2 linked regions of the Lepisosteus oculatus genome follow. The protein of the gene in region 1 purifies or fractionates together with the protein of each later gene. This does not show direct contact. Links are inferred from orthologs where the notes say so. Each region holds a gene or a part of one and is shown on either strand. Other genes may lie near its edges.

The links. Proteins that work in one complex are often made in the same cells at the same time.
Region 2: the proteins of dusp2 (region 1) and mapk1 purify together in Homo sapiens (affinity purification with mass spectrometry; 4 studies listed by BioGRID and IntAct, with this or other methods). This does not show direct contact. The link is inferred for Lepisosteus oculatus from reciprocal best matches to the Homo sapiens genes DUSP2 and MAPK1.

The regions. Positions count from the first base shown.
Region 1 is NC_090697.1:65,321,966-65,329,023, reverse strand, and holds the start of dusp2 (dual specificity protein phosphatase 2), read right to left. Parts: upstream 3,001-7,058; 5' UTR 1-3,000. UniProt on the Homo sapiens protein: Dephosphorylates both phosphorylated Thr and Tyr residues in MAPK1, and dephosphorylation of phosphotyrosine is slightly faster than that of phosphothreonine. Can dephosphorylate MAPK1.
Region 2 is NC_090717.1:1,962,749-1,969,806, reverse strand, and holds the start of mapk1 (mitogen-activated protein kinase 1), read left to right. Parts: upstream 1-4,036; 5' UTR 4,037-4,339; coding exon 4,340-4,485; intron 4,486-5,616; exon of another isoform or gene 5,617-5,903; coding exon of another isoform or gene 5,904-5,926; intron 5,927-7,058. UniProt on the Homo sapiens protein: Serine/threonine kinase which acts as an essential component of the MAP kinase signal transduction pathway. MAPK1/ERK2 and MAPK3/ERK1 are the 2 MAPKs which play an important role in the MAPK/ERK cascade.

The DNA of each region.
Region 1 (7,058 bases):
GAAAAGATACCTCCTTCCCCTTCAATATACTTCAGTTTATTTTTATTTACTTCACTAATGTAGACGTGGTGGACCACTGATGGCAGAGGTGATTTTTTTCACGTTGGTTGTTTTGCTACGGACTGTTCATGAATTCGGTATTTAAGTTTATGCCTCCGTTTAAGAGCTACGCCAGCGTACAGGACAGTATACTTGATGTCACGCAGATGAGGCTGGCTGTCTTCCCTTCTCGACCTTTGTCTCCTTAGTGTAACAGCTGTGAAAGACAGGCGAGGGTGGGGCGGGCCCTTAGTTTTATAAGCGCAGCCTGCCCACTGGGCCCCGCCTCTTTTCCCCTGACAAAAGGAAAAAACGTCACGGACGGAACTTCCATATATGGCGGCGGGCGCTCTTTGTCGGCGAGCCATATATGGTTAGTGGCGTCATCGCTCTTGCCAGGCCTGCCAGCACGTGGAGCTCTGGGGATACCCCCCCCGCCCCGTGTACGCGTGTGTGTGATTTGATGACATCAGCAGTCGGCGGACAAGCGGCAGCAGCAGATTTTCGTAATAAAATCCCCGGTAATTAAACTGTGGGCTTCTTAAAAACGAGCCCGATTTCTCATAAAACGACTTCCACTGAATCACGGCTGATTCACCCCAATGCCTTTTTCTTCCTTTATTTTTTTGGAGGTAGTGCGATAGAGGAACATGGTTCAGGTCCAGGTTTCCCAGTGTCAGGGTAGATGTTCTGTAGAATAAGGGGGTGGTGGTGAGTTTTTCCTAAATTCTTTCTCTGTTTTCTTTGACCAAGTGCCTAACCCACTAACTCATGTCCGTTAGAAAACTGAATCCACCTCCTCCACAAACCTTCAATAACCCATATTCCATCCACTGACCCTTGTTCCCCATTTGTTTAAAGTGGGGGGTCTTGTTAATGTTTCCCCGACCCAGGTATGTGTGTATGAAGGGGCATGATTCTGGCTAGGTCCTTTTTGAAATCCCCCTTCACCTTGACCACTGTTAGACAAGGAGGGACTGTAAAACATGAACCACAACTGGAAAGTACAGAGAAGTGCATTGGGAACAGGAGGCACTTCTTTACGCAAAGGGTGGTGGGAGTATGGAGAAAGCTACCCAGCCATGTTATTGAAGCCATTAGCCCGGCTTATTTCGGGAAGGATGAGACCCTCTGATTGGATCGGGTGGCACATCTTTGCATCTTTACACAAAGGGTGGTGGGAGTATGGAACAAGTCACCCGGCCGTGTTGTTAAAACCGGTACGCTGGCTACTTTCACAAAAAGGGTGGATGAGATCCTCAGATCAATTAGCTACTAATGACCACATGGGCCGAATGGCCTCTCGTTTGTACCTGTTCCCACACAAGCCGATGAGAGGCATTAGCTACTAGCAATCTAAACGAGTGGGAGGCGTTGAGCAGCCTCCTCTCTTGCTTACCTGCCTGGAGTCTGTGGATACGTCCCTGTGGGTCTGTGTGCAGGGGAACTCCCTGGTGGGAGGGTGTGTCAGTCATTGGATCACCCGCACATCCTACCAGAACTCTCTCCTCCTCCCTCCCTCCCCCTTCTTCCTGCTGCCCTCTCCAGATCCTTCCCTCTGCCCTTCTCGCACTCCATCGCCCTCTCCCTTTCTCCTCTCGGCACGCACTCTGCCAGTTGGCTAGTGACCACGGATTTTAACACCCCCCTCTTCGGAAGCAGCAAACCCTCCAGATTAGAGCAGAAAAATCTCCAGGCAGTAATCTAAACTCAGACCCAGAGGAAAGGGCCAGTTACCCCATCTTTCAGTCTGTTAATCTGGGCTCAGCCTGGCCAGTCACATGGGCAAGCACTGCTTAGCCGTGTTCAGCAGATGTTGTGTGCTTGTGTATTGTGCAGGATGAGCTAAGCAGTGTTGAGCAGTGTAATGCGTGTGTAGAATGTGATCAGCAGTAGAATGTGTGTATTTGTGTGTGCAGAACATGTCCACAGGTGTTCGGCAGGGTAATGTGTGTGTAGATGTACAGTATGTGTCTGTGTCAGTGTATGCAGAATGTGCCCACAAGTGTTGAGCAGTAGATTGTGCGGACAGGTTGCATATGAAGTGTTGTGCAACTATACTGTGTCTAGAGGCTTGTCCTTCCCAGGGGAGCTCATTTAAACACGATGCTCCTCCGTGAGTCACGTGATCATCACAGCGATGAAAACAGATAAATATAGATATATATGTTATACATAAACAGAGCTGCAGCCTGGTACTGTGTGTGATCTCCTGGTGCAGCCTGAGGAACAGAGAGGGAGCCTCTCAATAATAATAAAGACATTGTCCTCAATGTAAATGTTTACCGATTGTTACTGTTTAGGCAGCATTGAAATCCATCACAAATGCCATTAAAGCTTTTTAAATACACGAGTATATTACATGAATACGTATCAAACGCATATTTTCGGCCCATTTTAGAGTATAGGAAGCAGGCTGGCCTGTGGACCGGGGGACTTGCAGACAGTGTGCCGGGTTCATTAACAGCAGCAGCCAGTGCTGTTGGAGTGCGTGTCTGTGTGTGCGGGGAGTGGGGGTGGAGAGGTTAAAGCAGATATCCAGGAAGTCACAGGCACACCGAAAAGAAGAATAAAAACAGAGGGTGACGCAGACATGTTCCGTTGCCTGCGCTCAGACGCAAGTGTGCAGGGGCGATGTCAGTGGGAGGATGTCGTTGTGTGTGTAAAGAGACTCGATGTGCCCGCGTCTGTGTGTGTACATGTTTGCCCACCACCTGTGGGATATCCTGTTCATGTGAGTCTGTCCTACAGGTGTCTATAAATAGCTGCAGGCTTTAGTTCCAGGAAACAGTGATGAACAGGTTGTGTAAAGCACTTAGGAGCTAACAAAGGTGGGAAACCAGTAAGACGCTGGTAAGATCTGCCCATTACAAGTGCTCTTGATCCTGCGTAATCCAGTATGTATTCCCGTATCCCTTGTACCTTTATATCTGTACATTCCTGGCATATATTCATGTGTTTTGAGACAGTAGATTGTGTAGACAGTAGATTGTGTGTGTGGAGTGTGTCCGGCGGTGTGAGACAGTAGATTGTGTGTGTGGAGTGTGTCCGGCGGTGTGAGACAGTAGATTGTGTGTGTCCAGCAGTGTGAGAGAGTAGATTGTGTGTCCGGCGGTGTGAGACAGTAGATTGTGTGTGTGGAGTGTGTCCGGCGGTGTGAGACAGTAGATTGTGTGTGTCCAGCAGTGTGAGACAGTAGATTGTGTGTGTGGAGTGTGTCCAGCGGTGTGAGACAGTAGATTGTGTGTGTCCAGCAGTTTGAGACAGTAGATTGTGTGTGTGGAGTGTGTCCGGCGGTGTGAGACAGTAGATTGTGTGTGTCCAGCAGTGTGAGACAGTAGATTGTGTGTGTGGAGTGTGTCCGGCAGTGTGAGACAGTAGATTGTGTGTGTGGAGTGTGTCCGGCAGTGTGAAACAGTAGATTGTGTGTGTGGAGTGTGTCCAGCGGTGTGAGACAGTAGATTGTGTGTGTGGAGTGCGTCCGGAAGTGTGAGACAGTAGATTGTGTGTGTGGAGTGTGTCCGGCGGTGTGAGACAGTAGATTGTGTGTGTGGAGTGTGTCCGGCGGTGTGAGACAGTAGATTGTGTGTGTGGAGTGTGTCCGGCGGTGTGAGACAGTAGATTGTGTGTGTCCAGCAGTGTGAGACAGTAGATTGTGTGTGTGGAGTGTGTCCGGCGGTGTGAGACAGTAGATTGTGTGTGTGGAGTGTGTCCGGCGGTGTGAGACAGTAGATTGTGTGTGTCCAGCAGTGTGAGACAGTAGATTGTGTGTGTGGAGTGCGTCCGGAAGTGTGAGACAGTAGATTGTGTGTGTGGAGTGTGTCCGGCGGTGTGAGACAGTAGATTGTGTGTGTGGAGTGTGTCCGGCAGTGTGAGACAGTAGATTGTGTGTGTGGAGTGTGTCTGGTGGTGTGAGACAGTAGATTGTGTGTGTCCAGCAGTGTGAGACAGTAGATTGTGTGTGTGAAGTGTGTCCGGCGGTGTGAGACAGTAGATTGTGTGTGTCCAGCAGTGTGAGACAGTAGATTGTGTGTGTGAAGTCTGTCCGGCGGTGTGAGACAGTAGATTGTGTGTGTGGAGTGTGTCCAGCAGTGTGAGACAGTAGATTGTGTGTGTGGAGTGCGTCCGGAAGTGTGAGACAGTAGATTGTGTGTGTGGAGTGTGTCCAGCGGTGTGAGACAGTAGATTGTGTGTGTGGAGTGTGTCCGGCGGTGTGAGACAGTAGATTGTGTGTGTGGAGTGTGTCCGGCGGTGTGAGACAGTAGATTGTGTGTGTGGAGTGTGTCCGGCGGTGTGAGACAGTAGATTGTGTGTGTGGAGTGTGTCCAGCAGTGTGAGACAGTAGATTGTGTGCGTGGAGTGTGTCCGGCGGTGTGAGACAGTAGGTTGTGTGTGTCCAGCAGTGTGAGACAGTAGATTGTGTGTGTGGAGTGTGTCCGGCGGTGTGAGACAGTAGATTGTGTGTGTCCAGCGGTGTGAGACAGTAGATTGTGTGTGTGGAGTGTGTCCGGCGGTGTGAGACAGTAGATTGTGTGTGTGGAGTGTGTCCGGCGGTGTGAGACAGTAGATTGTGTGTGTTTGGCAGTGTGAGACAGTAGATTGTGTGTGTGGAGTGTGTTTGGCAGTGTGAGACAGTAGATTGTGTGTGTGGAGTGTGTCCGGCGGTGTGAGACAGTAGATTGTGTGTGTGGAGTGTGTTTGGCAGTGTGAGACAGTAGATTGTGTGTGTGGAGTGTGTCCGGCGGTGTGAGACAGTAGATTGTGTGTGTGGAGTGTGTCCGGCGGTGTTGCACACTACAATGTGTGGGAGACGTGTGGGTGACTTTGGGACACATCAGAAGGGGGGATTTAGGGGGTGGTGTGGGAGCACACAAAGAGGTCTGGACTAATCAGGAGAGAGAGGGGGTGCTGTGTAGGGGTTTATTGCAGAATGCGCACAGTACGTCTGCTTGACATCTAGTTTTATTATTTTTTTTCCAAAGGCTTCGCTATAGTTTTCTCTTTTTTGTGGATAGGTTTAAAACACTAGTTTTACGGCACATTGCTATAGTTTACTGTTGAAAACGATGGGTTTTACTACACATTGGTATTCGTTACTTTGTTTAAATCATGATTTTACAGCACATTGCTTCTCTTTACTTAGTTTCACTGCACTTTGCTACAGTGTACTGTGATTTATGACATATTAATCGTGTACCACAGCAAATTTACAACGGAAATGTGCTGTGACTCACCTTCAGACCTCTGTTTTGCGCTCGGGCTGACTCAAAACCAGAGCTGTGTCCCTTTGTATCTACCATGCTGTCTCCTTTCTGCAGCCTGAGATCACCCGTGGGTGAGACGGGAGCTTTCTGCCCTCCTCCAGCTTTCTCACTCACACTCTTCCTCCACCCACTCTCTCATTCTCTTCTCCTCCCTGGCTCGGTCCCCCAAACACTCCTTTATGAGCAGGACAGATCAATCACTGTAGCATTGTGGGTTCACAGTTAGCAATCATTTCTAATCGTGGCAACCAAGCAATTCGTGTTTGCAGCTTAAAAGGAAAAGCTAAGAGAGAATTAAAAAGGTTTTAGCTGCATCTGATATGTGGTTGCAAGGAAAATAAAGTCATTCATCAACAGAAATATATAAAAAAGGTATTTATCACAAAACAAATATTTATAGGGATCAATTTTGTACTCCATTGCCAGACGTCATTCTGTCACCCACATCTCCCTGCTCTCTCAACCCTGTGTCTTTGTGCTCCCTTTCCTCTCTCTCTCGTTCCCTCTATCTCACTTCAATTCAAAGGTATTTTATCAGCCTAGCTAATAACATCACTGCGGCCAAAGGTATTACACAATTCAACAGTCCATCCGGTCTGAACAGTTTTCCGTCTCTGTCTCGCCCTTCTCTCTCTTCCTCTCAATCCACTGCCTCCCTCCTTTCTTCTGGCCTTTTCTTAATCTCATTCAGAATCCAGTATGAACTCACTCCGGCTTTCTCACTCACGATATGATAGCTTCCTCATCTCCCTCCTCTCCCCCAGCCTCAACCAGGGCAGAATGGGGCCTCCTGAGTTACTCAACCAGTAAAGCAGGTTCGAACCTGGGTCCTGTAACTAGCTGATCGTGACCCAGGTTCTCCAAGTCATGCATTAGGGCTCTCAGTGTTATCAGCGAGGAACCCACCTTTCCACCAATCAGCTTTGATCCTCCTGTATGGGGCTGTGCTTCCTGTGACGCGTTAAAAGATGATTGGCTGAAAGGTGGGCACGTGGGAAGAGTCGGTTTACACTTCCTCATTTTCCCCGTGTACGGTCTTGGGATTTATAGCGGCGATTCCAAATTGCTTGAGACAGGATATCAATGCACTTTGAGAGAGCTATGAGACACCTGTCTGCTGGCTGCTCTCCTGTTGATGATCATTAGGACTGGGAAAGTCTGGCCAAGGAATCTGGTCTCTTTCTGTCCACAGAGCTGCCTGGACTTCAACTTTAACTGCCTTGCAGAACTTGAATACCTTTAGCCTGATCTGGGCTTTCGATCAAGCAGTGTGGGACTTTCAGAGCACAAAACTGTTTTTATCTCTCTGGTTCTATTATCAGAGAATTTATAGATTTTGCTTAATATTAGATTTTTTAGCATTTAACAGACTTCATTTAAATATCTATTGGTACAGTGTTTTTTTGTATTATATCTGAACTTTTTTTATCACTCAACAGTAGTTTTAAAGCTCTGAAGCTTCTGCGATACGTTAAGTGCTGTTAAGAGTGTGGTAGGAATGTCAGATTTGTCACTTTTTGTTAATAAAGCTTGGAAGAAGTGAAATGCCTCCCTCTCTTACTCCCTTTCACGGTTTTCCACCATTCTCTGCTCCCCACCCCCACTTTCTCTTCCTCTGCCTGGGGCTGTGCATCTCGCGCACTGATACAGGAAGAGGCTGGCTGACTTCCTGTGACACAGGTAGTGGAGGCGTTCTGCTCATCAGTTCCATTGTCGCGGCAACCGCTGAGGCCGGCGCGGTCACATGACATACTG
Region 2 (7,058 bases), on another chromosome or scaffold:
AGTGTAAGTTATATATATCGTATGTAGCTTTTTTCTGGACACTCCACTCAAAGCGCATTACAGGTAATGGGGATCCCCTCAACCACCACCAGTGTGCAGCCCCACCTGGATGATGCGCCAGTCTGCCCCCCACACACCAGCTCTCAGTGGGAAGGAGAGCAGAGAGATGAACCAGTTCAGAGATGGGGATTATTAGGAGGCCACGATTGGTAAAGGCCAGGGGGTAATTTGGCCAGGACGCCAGGGTTACACCCCTACTCTTTTCAAGAAACGCCCTGAGATGTTTAATGACCACAGAGAGTCAGGACCTCGGTTTTACATCTCGTCTGAAAGACGGTGCCTTTTTATAGTATAGTGTCCCTGTCACTACACTGGGGCATTAGGACCCACACAGACCGCAGGATGAGCACTAACACCTCTTCCAGTAGAAACCTTAGCTTGAAAAGGAGTCTCCCTTCCAGGTACTGGCCAGGCTCACACCTGCTGAGCTCCAGTGGGCTGCCAGCTGTGAGCTGCAGGATGATATTACAACGCCAGGCAGCTGTAGATCATGTGTTGCTCTCCATCCATCTTCGAACCACTTGATCCAGTCCAGGGTCACAGGGGAGCTGGGGTTTATCCCGATAAGCAACAGGTGCAAGGCAGGATACACCCGAGATGAGATGCCGGTCCATCGCGGGGCAGACAGACGCAAATGGACATGCACACACACCAGGGCCACGTTTCCCAAAACCCAATTTACTTTTCAGGTTAATTTGGACTGTGAGAGAAAAAAAAGTGTGTGCACATGGAGAGAACATACAAACTCCCAGCTGATGGTATCCCAGCCTGGAATGACAGAAGGAGGAACTGAACCCAGGGTCCACCATAGCCAGGCAGCAGTGCTGACCACTGTACCTATGGTTAAACAATTCAATGTGCTTTCACCATGCTGTACCTCACTCATTCACTAAGCATCACCACAAACCAACAGACACAAGTGGAAACTAACAGGGAGTACATTTACAATTAAGAACTGGAGGCACTGTACACCAAGGATGGTGGGGGTCTGGAACAAACTACCCACACGTTGTGCTGAAGCCAATGCCCTGGCTTCATAGATAAGAAATGGATGAGTTCATCAGCGCAATTAGCTTTGTCAAATCAAACTAGATGGGTCAAATTGTGCCCCCTTCTTTCTGTCCTTACAGTTTAAGGGATACCACCATTTACGATTTGTAAGAGTCAGTAACCTTCACCAGCAGTTCTCTAGTTCTGTCCCCAGCAGCAGCTTTCTAGTGGTTAATTAGGTCTCTTTCAAATGTCCAAGTCAGAGAAGTTGCTTTTGGTATAAAATAATGAAATTTTGTGAATCACCTCAGGAAACTAAAAAAAAAGTGGTGCACAGTGGAGTAATAAGACACAAATCATGACAAATTCACCCAGTGACTCAGAGAGTACAACCACATTCCACAACACAAGCTTTAACAGCGGGATAGGTCTTTAAATAAGTTCTGAAATGGGCAGTCTCTGATGGATTTGGGCAGTGCCTTTTACTGATGCAGAGCATCATGTACTGTGGGGAGCCTGGATTTGAGCAGAGTAAGAATCTCAAATTAAGATGAAGGATTGTGGCAAATGTTTCAGATAACCTGGAGTCATCTGTCTAAGATTTGAGTGGGAGAATAAGATAACATAAGATCATTTTTTTTTAGCCATCTACAATTTCTTGCATTAGGAATTTGTCTTTTCAGAAACCCCAGCTTGCTCTCCATGAGACACACAGACAGGGAGAGAAGCTTGGGGTCAGAGCGCAGGGTCAGCCATTTATACGCCACCCCAGGAGCAGTTGGGGTTAAGGGCCTTGCTCGGGCACCCAACACAGTGGGATTTCTCTGCCAGCCATAGGATTTGAGCCAGCAAGCACAGCTACAAGCACAGATCCTTCACCACAAAGCCACCACTCCACGCCTAAAGAAATCTCAGTTTGACAGCTGGGTTCGAACCCCCAACCTGAGGCATAAAAGGCACATGCTTAAGCCAGATTTCTGAGAATACTGTAGCCTATTCAATACTTTCAAAGATATTTCATTTGGTGAGGCACGACATTAGTCACTGATCGTGACTAAAAGGTAAGAATATTTCAGCTTCAGACAGTGTCTTAAATAACGTTACACGAGTGGAAGAAAGTTACGGTAATAATTATCCATAATTGGTCATCTTGATTGTTTAGCTCAGGTCTTCTGGTGAAACGACTTCGGTTCAAGAGGTCGTTTTGCGTCTTTCACACACGTAACCTTTTGACGGGGTCATTGAGATGTTATTACGAAGTTAAACCACAAGGTGGCAGTAAATGAGACAGCAGTAATCGCCTACTCCGAATATCCGTGAGTATCCGCGCATCCTCATCAGTTTTAAGAAACTCCACTTAAAGCACTTTACAGGTAACTCCACCACCAGTGTGCAGCCCCACCCGGATGATGCGACAGCAGCCAGAGTGCACCAGTACACTCCCCACACACAGGAGCTAAATTGGGAGGAGAGCAGAGTGATGGAGCCAGTTCAGAGATGGGGATTATTAAGAGGCCATGATGGGTAAAGGCCAGGGGGAAATTTGGCCAGGACACAAGGGTAACACCCCTACTCTTTTCGAGAAACACCCTGGGATATTTAATGACCACAGAGAGTTGGGACCTGGGTTTTATGTCTCATCTTAAGGACGGTGGCTTTTTTCAGTAGATTGTCCCCGTCACTGTACTGGGGCATTAGGACACACACAGACCGCAGGGTGAGCGCCCCCTACTGCTCCCACTAACACCTCTTCCAGCCTCAGCTTTCCCAGGAGTCTCCCCTCTATAAGAAAAGACAAATCAAACGGCTTCAAGGAGCCACTTTTCAAAGTGAACTTCTTTGGCACAAATGCGCTTATAGTTTCACTGCCACGGCGCAAGTAATAGTTAAATTATATACTTTAGTAACGCTTTTCATTTTAAATAACGAGGTAAATCCCAGGCATGATAAAACACGAAACATACTAAATTCTCTACTGGTTTCCTTCTCTAAGTTAGATTCTTACTAGCAACCAACTGCTACAGGGCTGAACTGGCCATTCCAGACAAAACCGAGAACGACAGAGGAAACGCTCCCCGATTTTTTTTATGCCTTCTGATGTCTTTTTTGCAGATCTCTCCGTCCGACAGGCGGGTGGCGGCGGTGTGTAGGAACCAGCTCGTGTTTACAGGCTCCGAAAGGGCCGTGTAATCATTTTCTCTGAGTCACGTTTCCTGCGACTTCGGGCAAAGCAGATCCTCTTGTGTCACTCTGGGGGGATGACGAACTGGGGGAAATCTCTGCAGTGGGCTCTGTTGCATTTCCATCGGTGCCAAACGACAGGATTTTCTTGGCCTTTTTTTTTAGATATCATTGACCGCTCCCGCAGGTCTTGCGGTTGATCTCACTGTGTATCATCGGCGGCTTGACTCCGCCCTGCCCAGATCTGACAGATTAAAAAGTGGCGTTATCAGATTGAATCACATCTTCTTTTTTTTTTACGCTGTATTATCGTTTCTCACTGGCGAAAACCATCACCCGCTGTACGCGTAAAGATAACTACAAAATGCAGTGTTCGTGCAGTCCATCTCCAAATGAAAACAATTCTAACAGAAATCATTAATTCGGATATACGAACGGAATTCTCATATGCAATATGATTTCAGGGAAACAGAAAATAAAAGCGATACAAAAACATAGTTGTCAAAGAGACTCCGGGACAGTTTAAATGCACTTTTGTACAGCAACTCTGCTCTTCCATGAATTAAATCTTGAACTCTGGATTGGGCCATCAATTAGAATCGGCTCCTGTCCAGTTGCAAAAAAAAAACAATAATTGATTCAGCTCCTGGTTGCTCCAGAGCCGAGCAGTCCCTTGCTGTCTGTCCGAGAAGACCAGAGACCCCCAGCCGGCGTGACAGGCTCCCCCGTCCCCGCGGCGCAAGCGCACCCCCCTCACGTGACCGAGTCCTCGCTCTCGCCCCTGCGCTCCCCGGTCACATGACCAGCCCGTTATTTCCTGCAGTGGAGCTGCCTGCCTGCCGCAGTCTGCGGGCGAGTCTACAAGGTTGCTAGACTGTAGCAAAGTAATCCACGGCTCGTCTCCCCCTCCCTCTCACCATCCTGACAGGCGATCAACAGGCCGTACGGTTTCTTCGGCTCCTGGGACTGAAAGCTCGTTTGTTCAGGTTTTTTTTTTCCGGCCCCTTCCCCTTCCTCGTAGCTAGGACTTTTTCTTCCCAGATTTTCTGTTTTTTTTCCTCTTCTCCCACCCATCCTTCTGCGTGTGTGTGTGGGCAGCTAGTTAACAATGGCGACAGCCGCGGTATCTGGTGCTGCAGGCGGCGCCCCCAACACCGGATCGGGAGCCGAGCTGGTCCGTGGACAGGCCTTCGATGTGGGTCCCCGCTACAGCAACCTGTCCTATATCGGCGAGGGGGCCTACGGCATGGTGTGGTAAGTTGTGTTCGGGGGCCGGGGGGGCTGGACGCCACGGCCGCGGTGTCTTGAGTCTCTCGGCGCTGGGTGCTGTGTGCACGGCCGGGCGAGAGAGGCTCCAGACCTGCCGGCGGAGGAGAGGGGGGAAACTCAGTTCGTGCTACACATGCATGCAAAGTTTTTTTTTTTACGGTTTTTCTCCGTCCGCGCTGTCGGGGAAGCTCGCTCGGTGTCGGGACTCGCCGCCGTCGTACTTGTTGATGGAGCCGTGAGGCTGACGGACCCCGAGAGTGAGAGAGAGAGAGGTCTGCGAGAGCCGGATTGGGAATGTTGGGTTTTTTTTTGTTCCGATGTGTCATTGATTTTCACTTTTCAATGCAGAGAAGGGCAACACCCTTTGCCGTAAGGGGTGTAGCTAGCGGATTACAACTCGGAGCCGCCTGTGCTTGGAGCCGGCTCGAACTCTCGGGTGCTATATCATTGCTGCTTGTGTCCGCCGTGTTGTTTATTAAACAACAACATCTTTATTAAACAACAAATGCTGAAATGTTACTTGACGACGTCGCGTTTCCCGGTAAACGCGCATTATTGATATCCGTTAGCGGCTTGAAGCCCAATACCTATGGAAAGCACACCCCAAGTTTTGACAGCCGGGCAGTGGGCGATCCAGTCGGGGGGGGGGGGGGGGGGGTAGTTTTATCCAGATGTGCGCCGTTTCTGGGAACGAGCATCTCCCCGTGTCCCGCCTTATCAATCAGTGTGTTCAGTTGATAGCGCATAAATCGCTGCCTCTTTCCCCCTTGGAGGAGGGCGAGGCTCGTCGTTTGCTGCGTCGCTGTGGGGTATAGGGTGTCACACTTGGCGGCATCCCCTCGTTGGGGCATCTAAGAGTTGAATCCCACCCCCCCTCGGAGAGATCGCTTGTTGCATTTTCCGAGTTGCAGGTAAGGCGATCTCCAGCGCGAGCGGCAATTCATGGGAATGGGAAGGTGCTGATTGGCGGCCCGGCGTCACGAGCTGCGGGGAGCTCTCGCGCGGAGCGCGGCGGAATGTCCGCCCGTGTCCGCGGGGCGTGTGCGTGTGCGCGCCGGTGCCCCCGGCTGCCCACCCGAACCCAGAGGGGTCTCGGCGCAGCTCGGCTTCCTGTGCCGGAGTCGAGACGGCCGCCGGGGTCACAGCGATGCCGGTTCCGGGCGAATTTTGTTTTTGTTTTTATTTTTTACAAAAACTGTTCACCCTAGTGATTTGGAAGAAGGGGCTGGGTTTATCGAGAACGCCTTTGAAACAAGTCCCTTTTCCCGGAGTGAGTGCAGATCGCCACAAGCGATATCACTCTGTACCACGCAGTTAAGCCACGCCTAGCGATATTTATAGGAAGAGGGACGGGCCTACCTAGTTCAGCAGACAGGAGCGCGATTTATACCCCCACAAACTGAATGAATCAAAGCAGACCCGTCAGGTAATAATGTTTTGGTCCTTCGCAGCTGTGTTGCAATCGGTTCCTAGTGAATAGAAGGGTAGGAGAATGTGTCAGCGGTTTTGCTTTGTGAAAGGGGAAGGGTGCGGTTTGTGGAGTTCGTGCATCGTGCCACAGGTGTGGCGTTGTGTGAGAATGCTCTGGCCTCTTCATTAGTCCGGCCGTCACAGGTGTTCCCGAAGTTCAGATTCCTTTTCCTGATGCAGTGCGTATGCATATTCTGTGCAGCACAGTAGAGTCCCCAATAAGATGCAAGAGCCTCAAAATTTTAAAATTAAAAAAAATTCGGGACTTAGATGACCAGTTCTGCCTTGAAATGAGATTTTCACTTTTTGTCCTTTCAGGTGCGTAATATCAATTTTATCTTCGCTCCTTAACTCTTCTGAGTGATGCGTTAGAAACCGCTGGTGTGCAGGGTGCTGCTCAGTGGTTAAAGAAACCAGGATTTATCAGATGTAGAGACAGGAAATTAAGCAATGATCCTATTATACACAGCCTTGTTTGAACCTTTCTGTCGTCCAGTGGGTTTTATTTACCAGCTGCCTGCTGTACATCTAAGTTGCTGAGAGCGTCCATCTTTGGTGGCATTTATGAGGAGGCTCAGCGTTAAAAGCAAATGAGATATCGACTGCCTGAACTGATACCTCCCTCCTTTTGATGAAGATAATTGCATCTTAGGACGTAAAGAGACTCCAGAGGTTTTGTCTGCCTTCTGTGTGCAAATGCCCATGACCTGTGCGGTCTCGCAGCCTGCTTTGCCAGATCTCTTTTCGTTAGACCTTACTTTGCATCCAAGCGGAAGAAAATGAGAGATCCAACTAGCTAAGAGAGCACTGGCAGGCGCAGTGCATGTGTTATCTGAGCAGGAAGCTGAGGGTGTTGATAGAATGCATGCTTCACTGCAACAAAAACAAAGGGATATACAGTGTGGGGGGTTGTCAAATGAGTAATCTTGAAGTGATGGAGGTTCTGTGAAATGTGCTCGCAGGAAGTACGCAGGTCCTTCATTGCTGTGGATGCTGGGGAACGTTTCTCGTTGATGCTCTGCAGAGATGCAATCTGGGAGCATCTTGGATAGGAGTATGAAAATCGCGAAATGATTGATCTGAAGCGT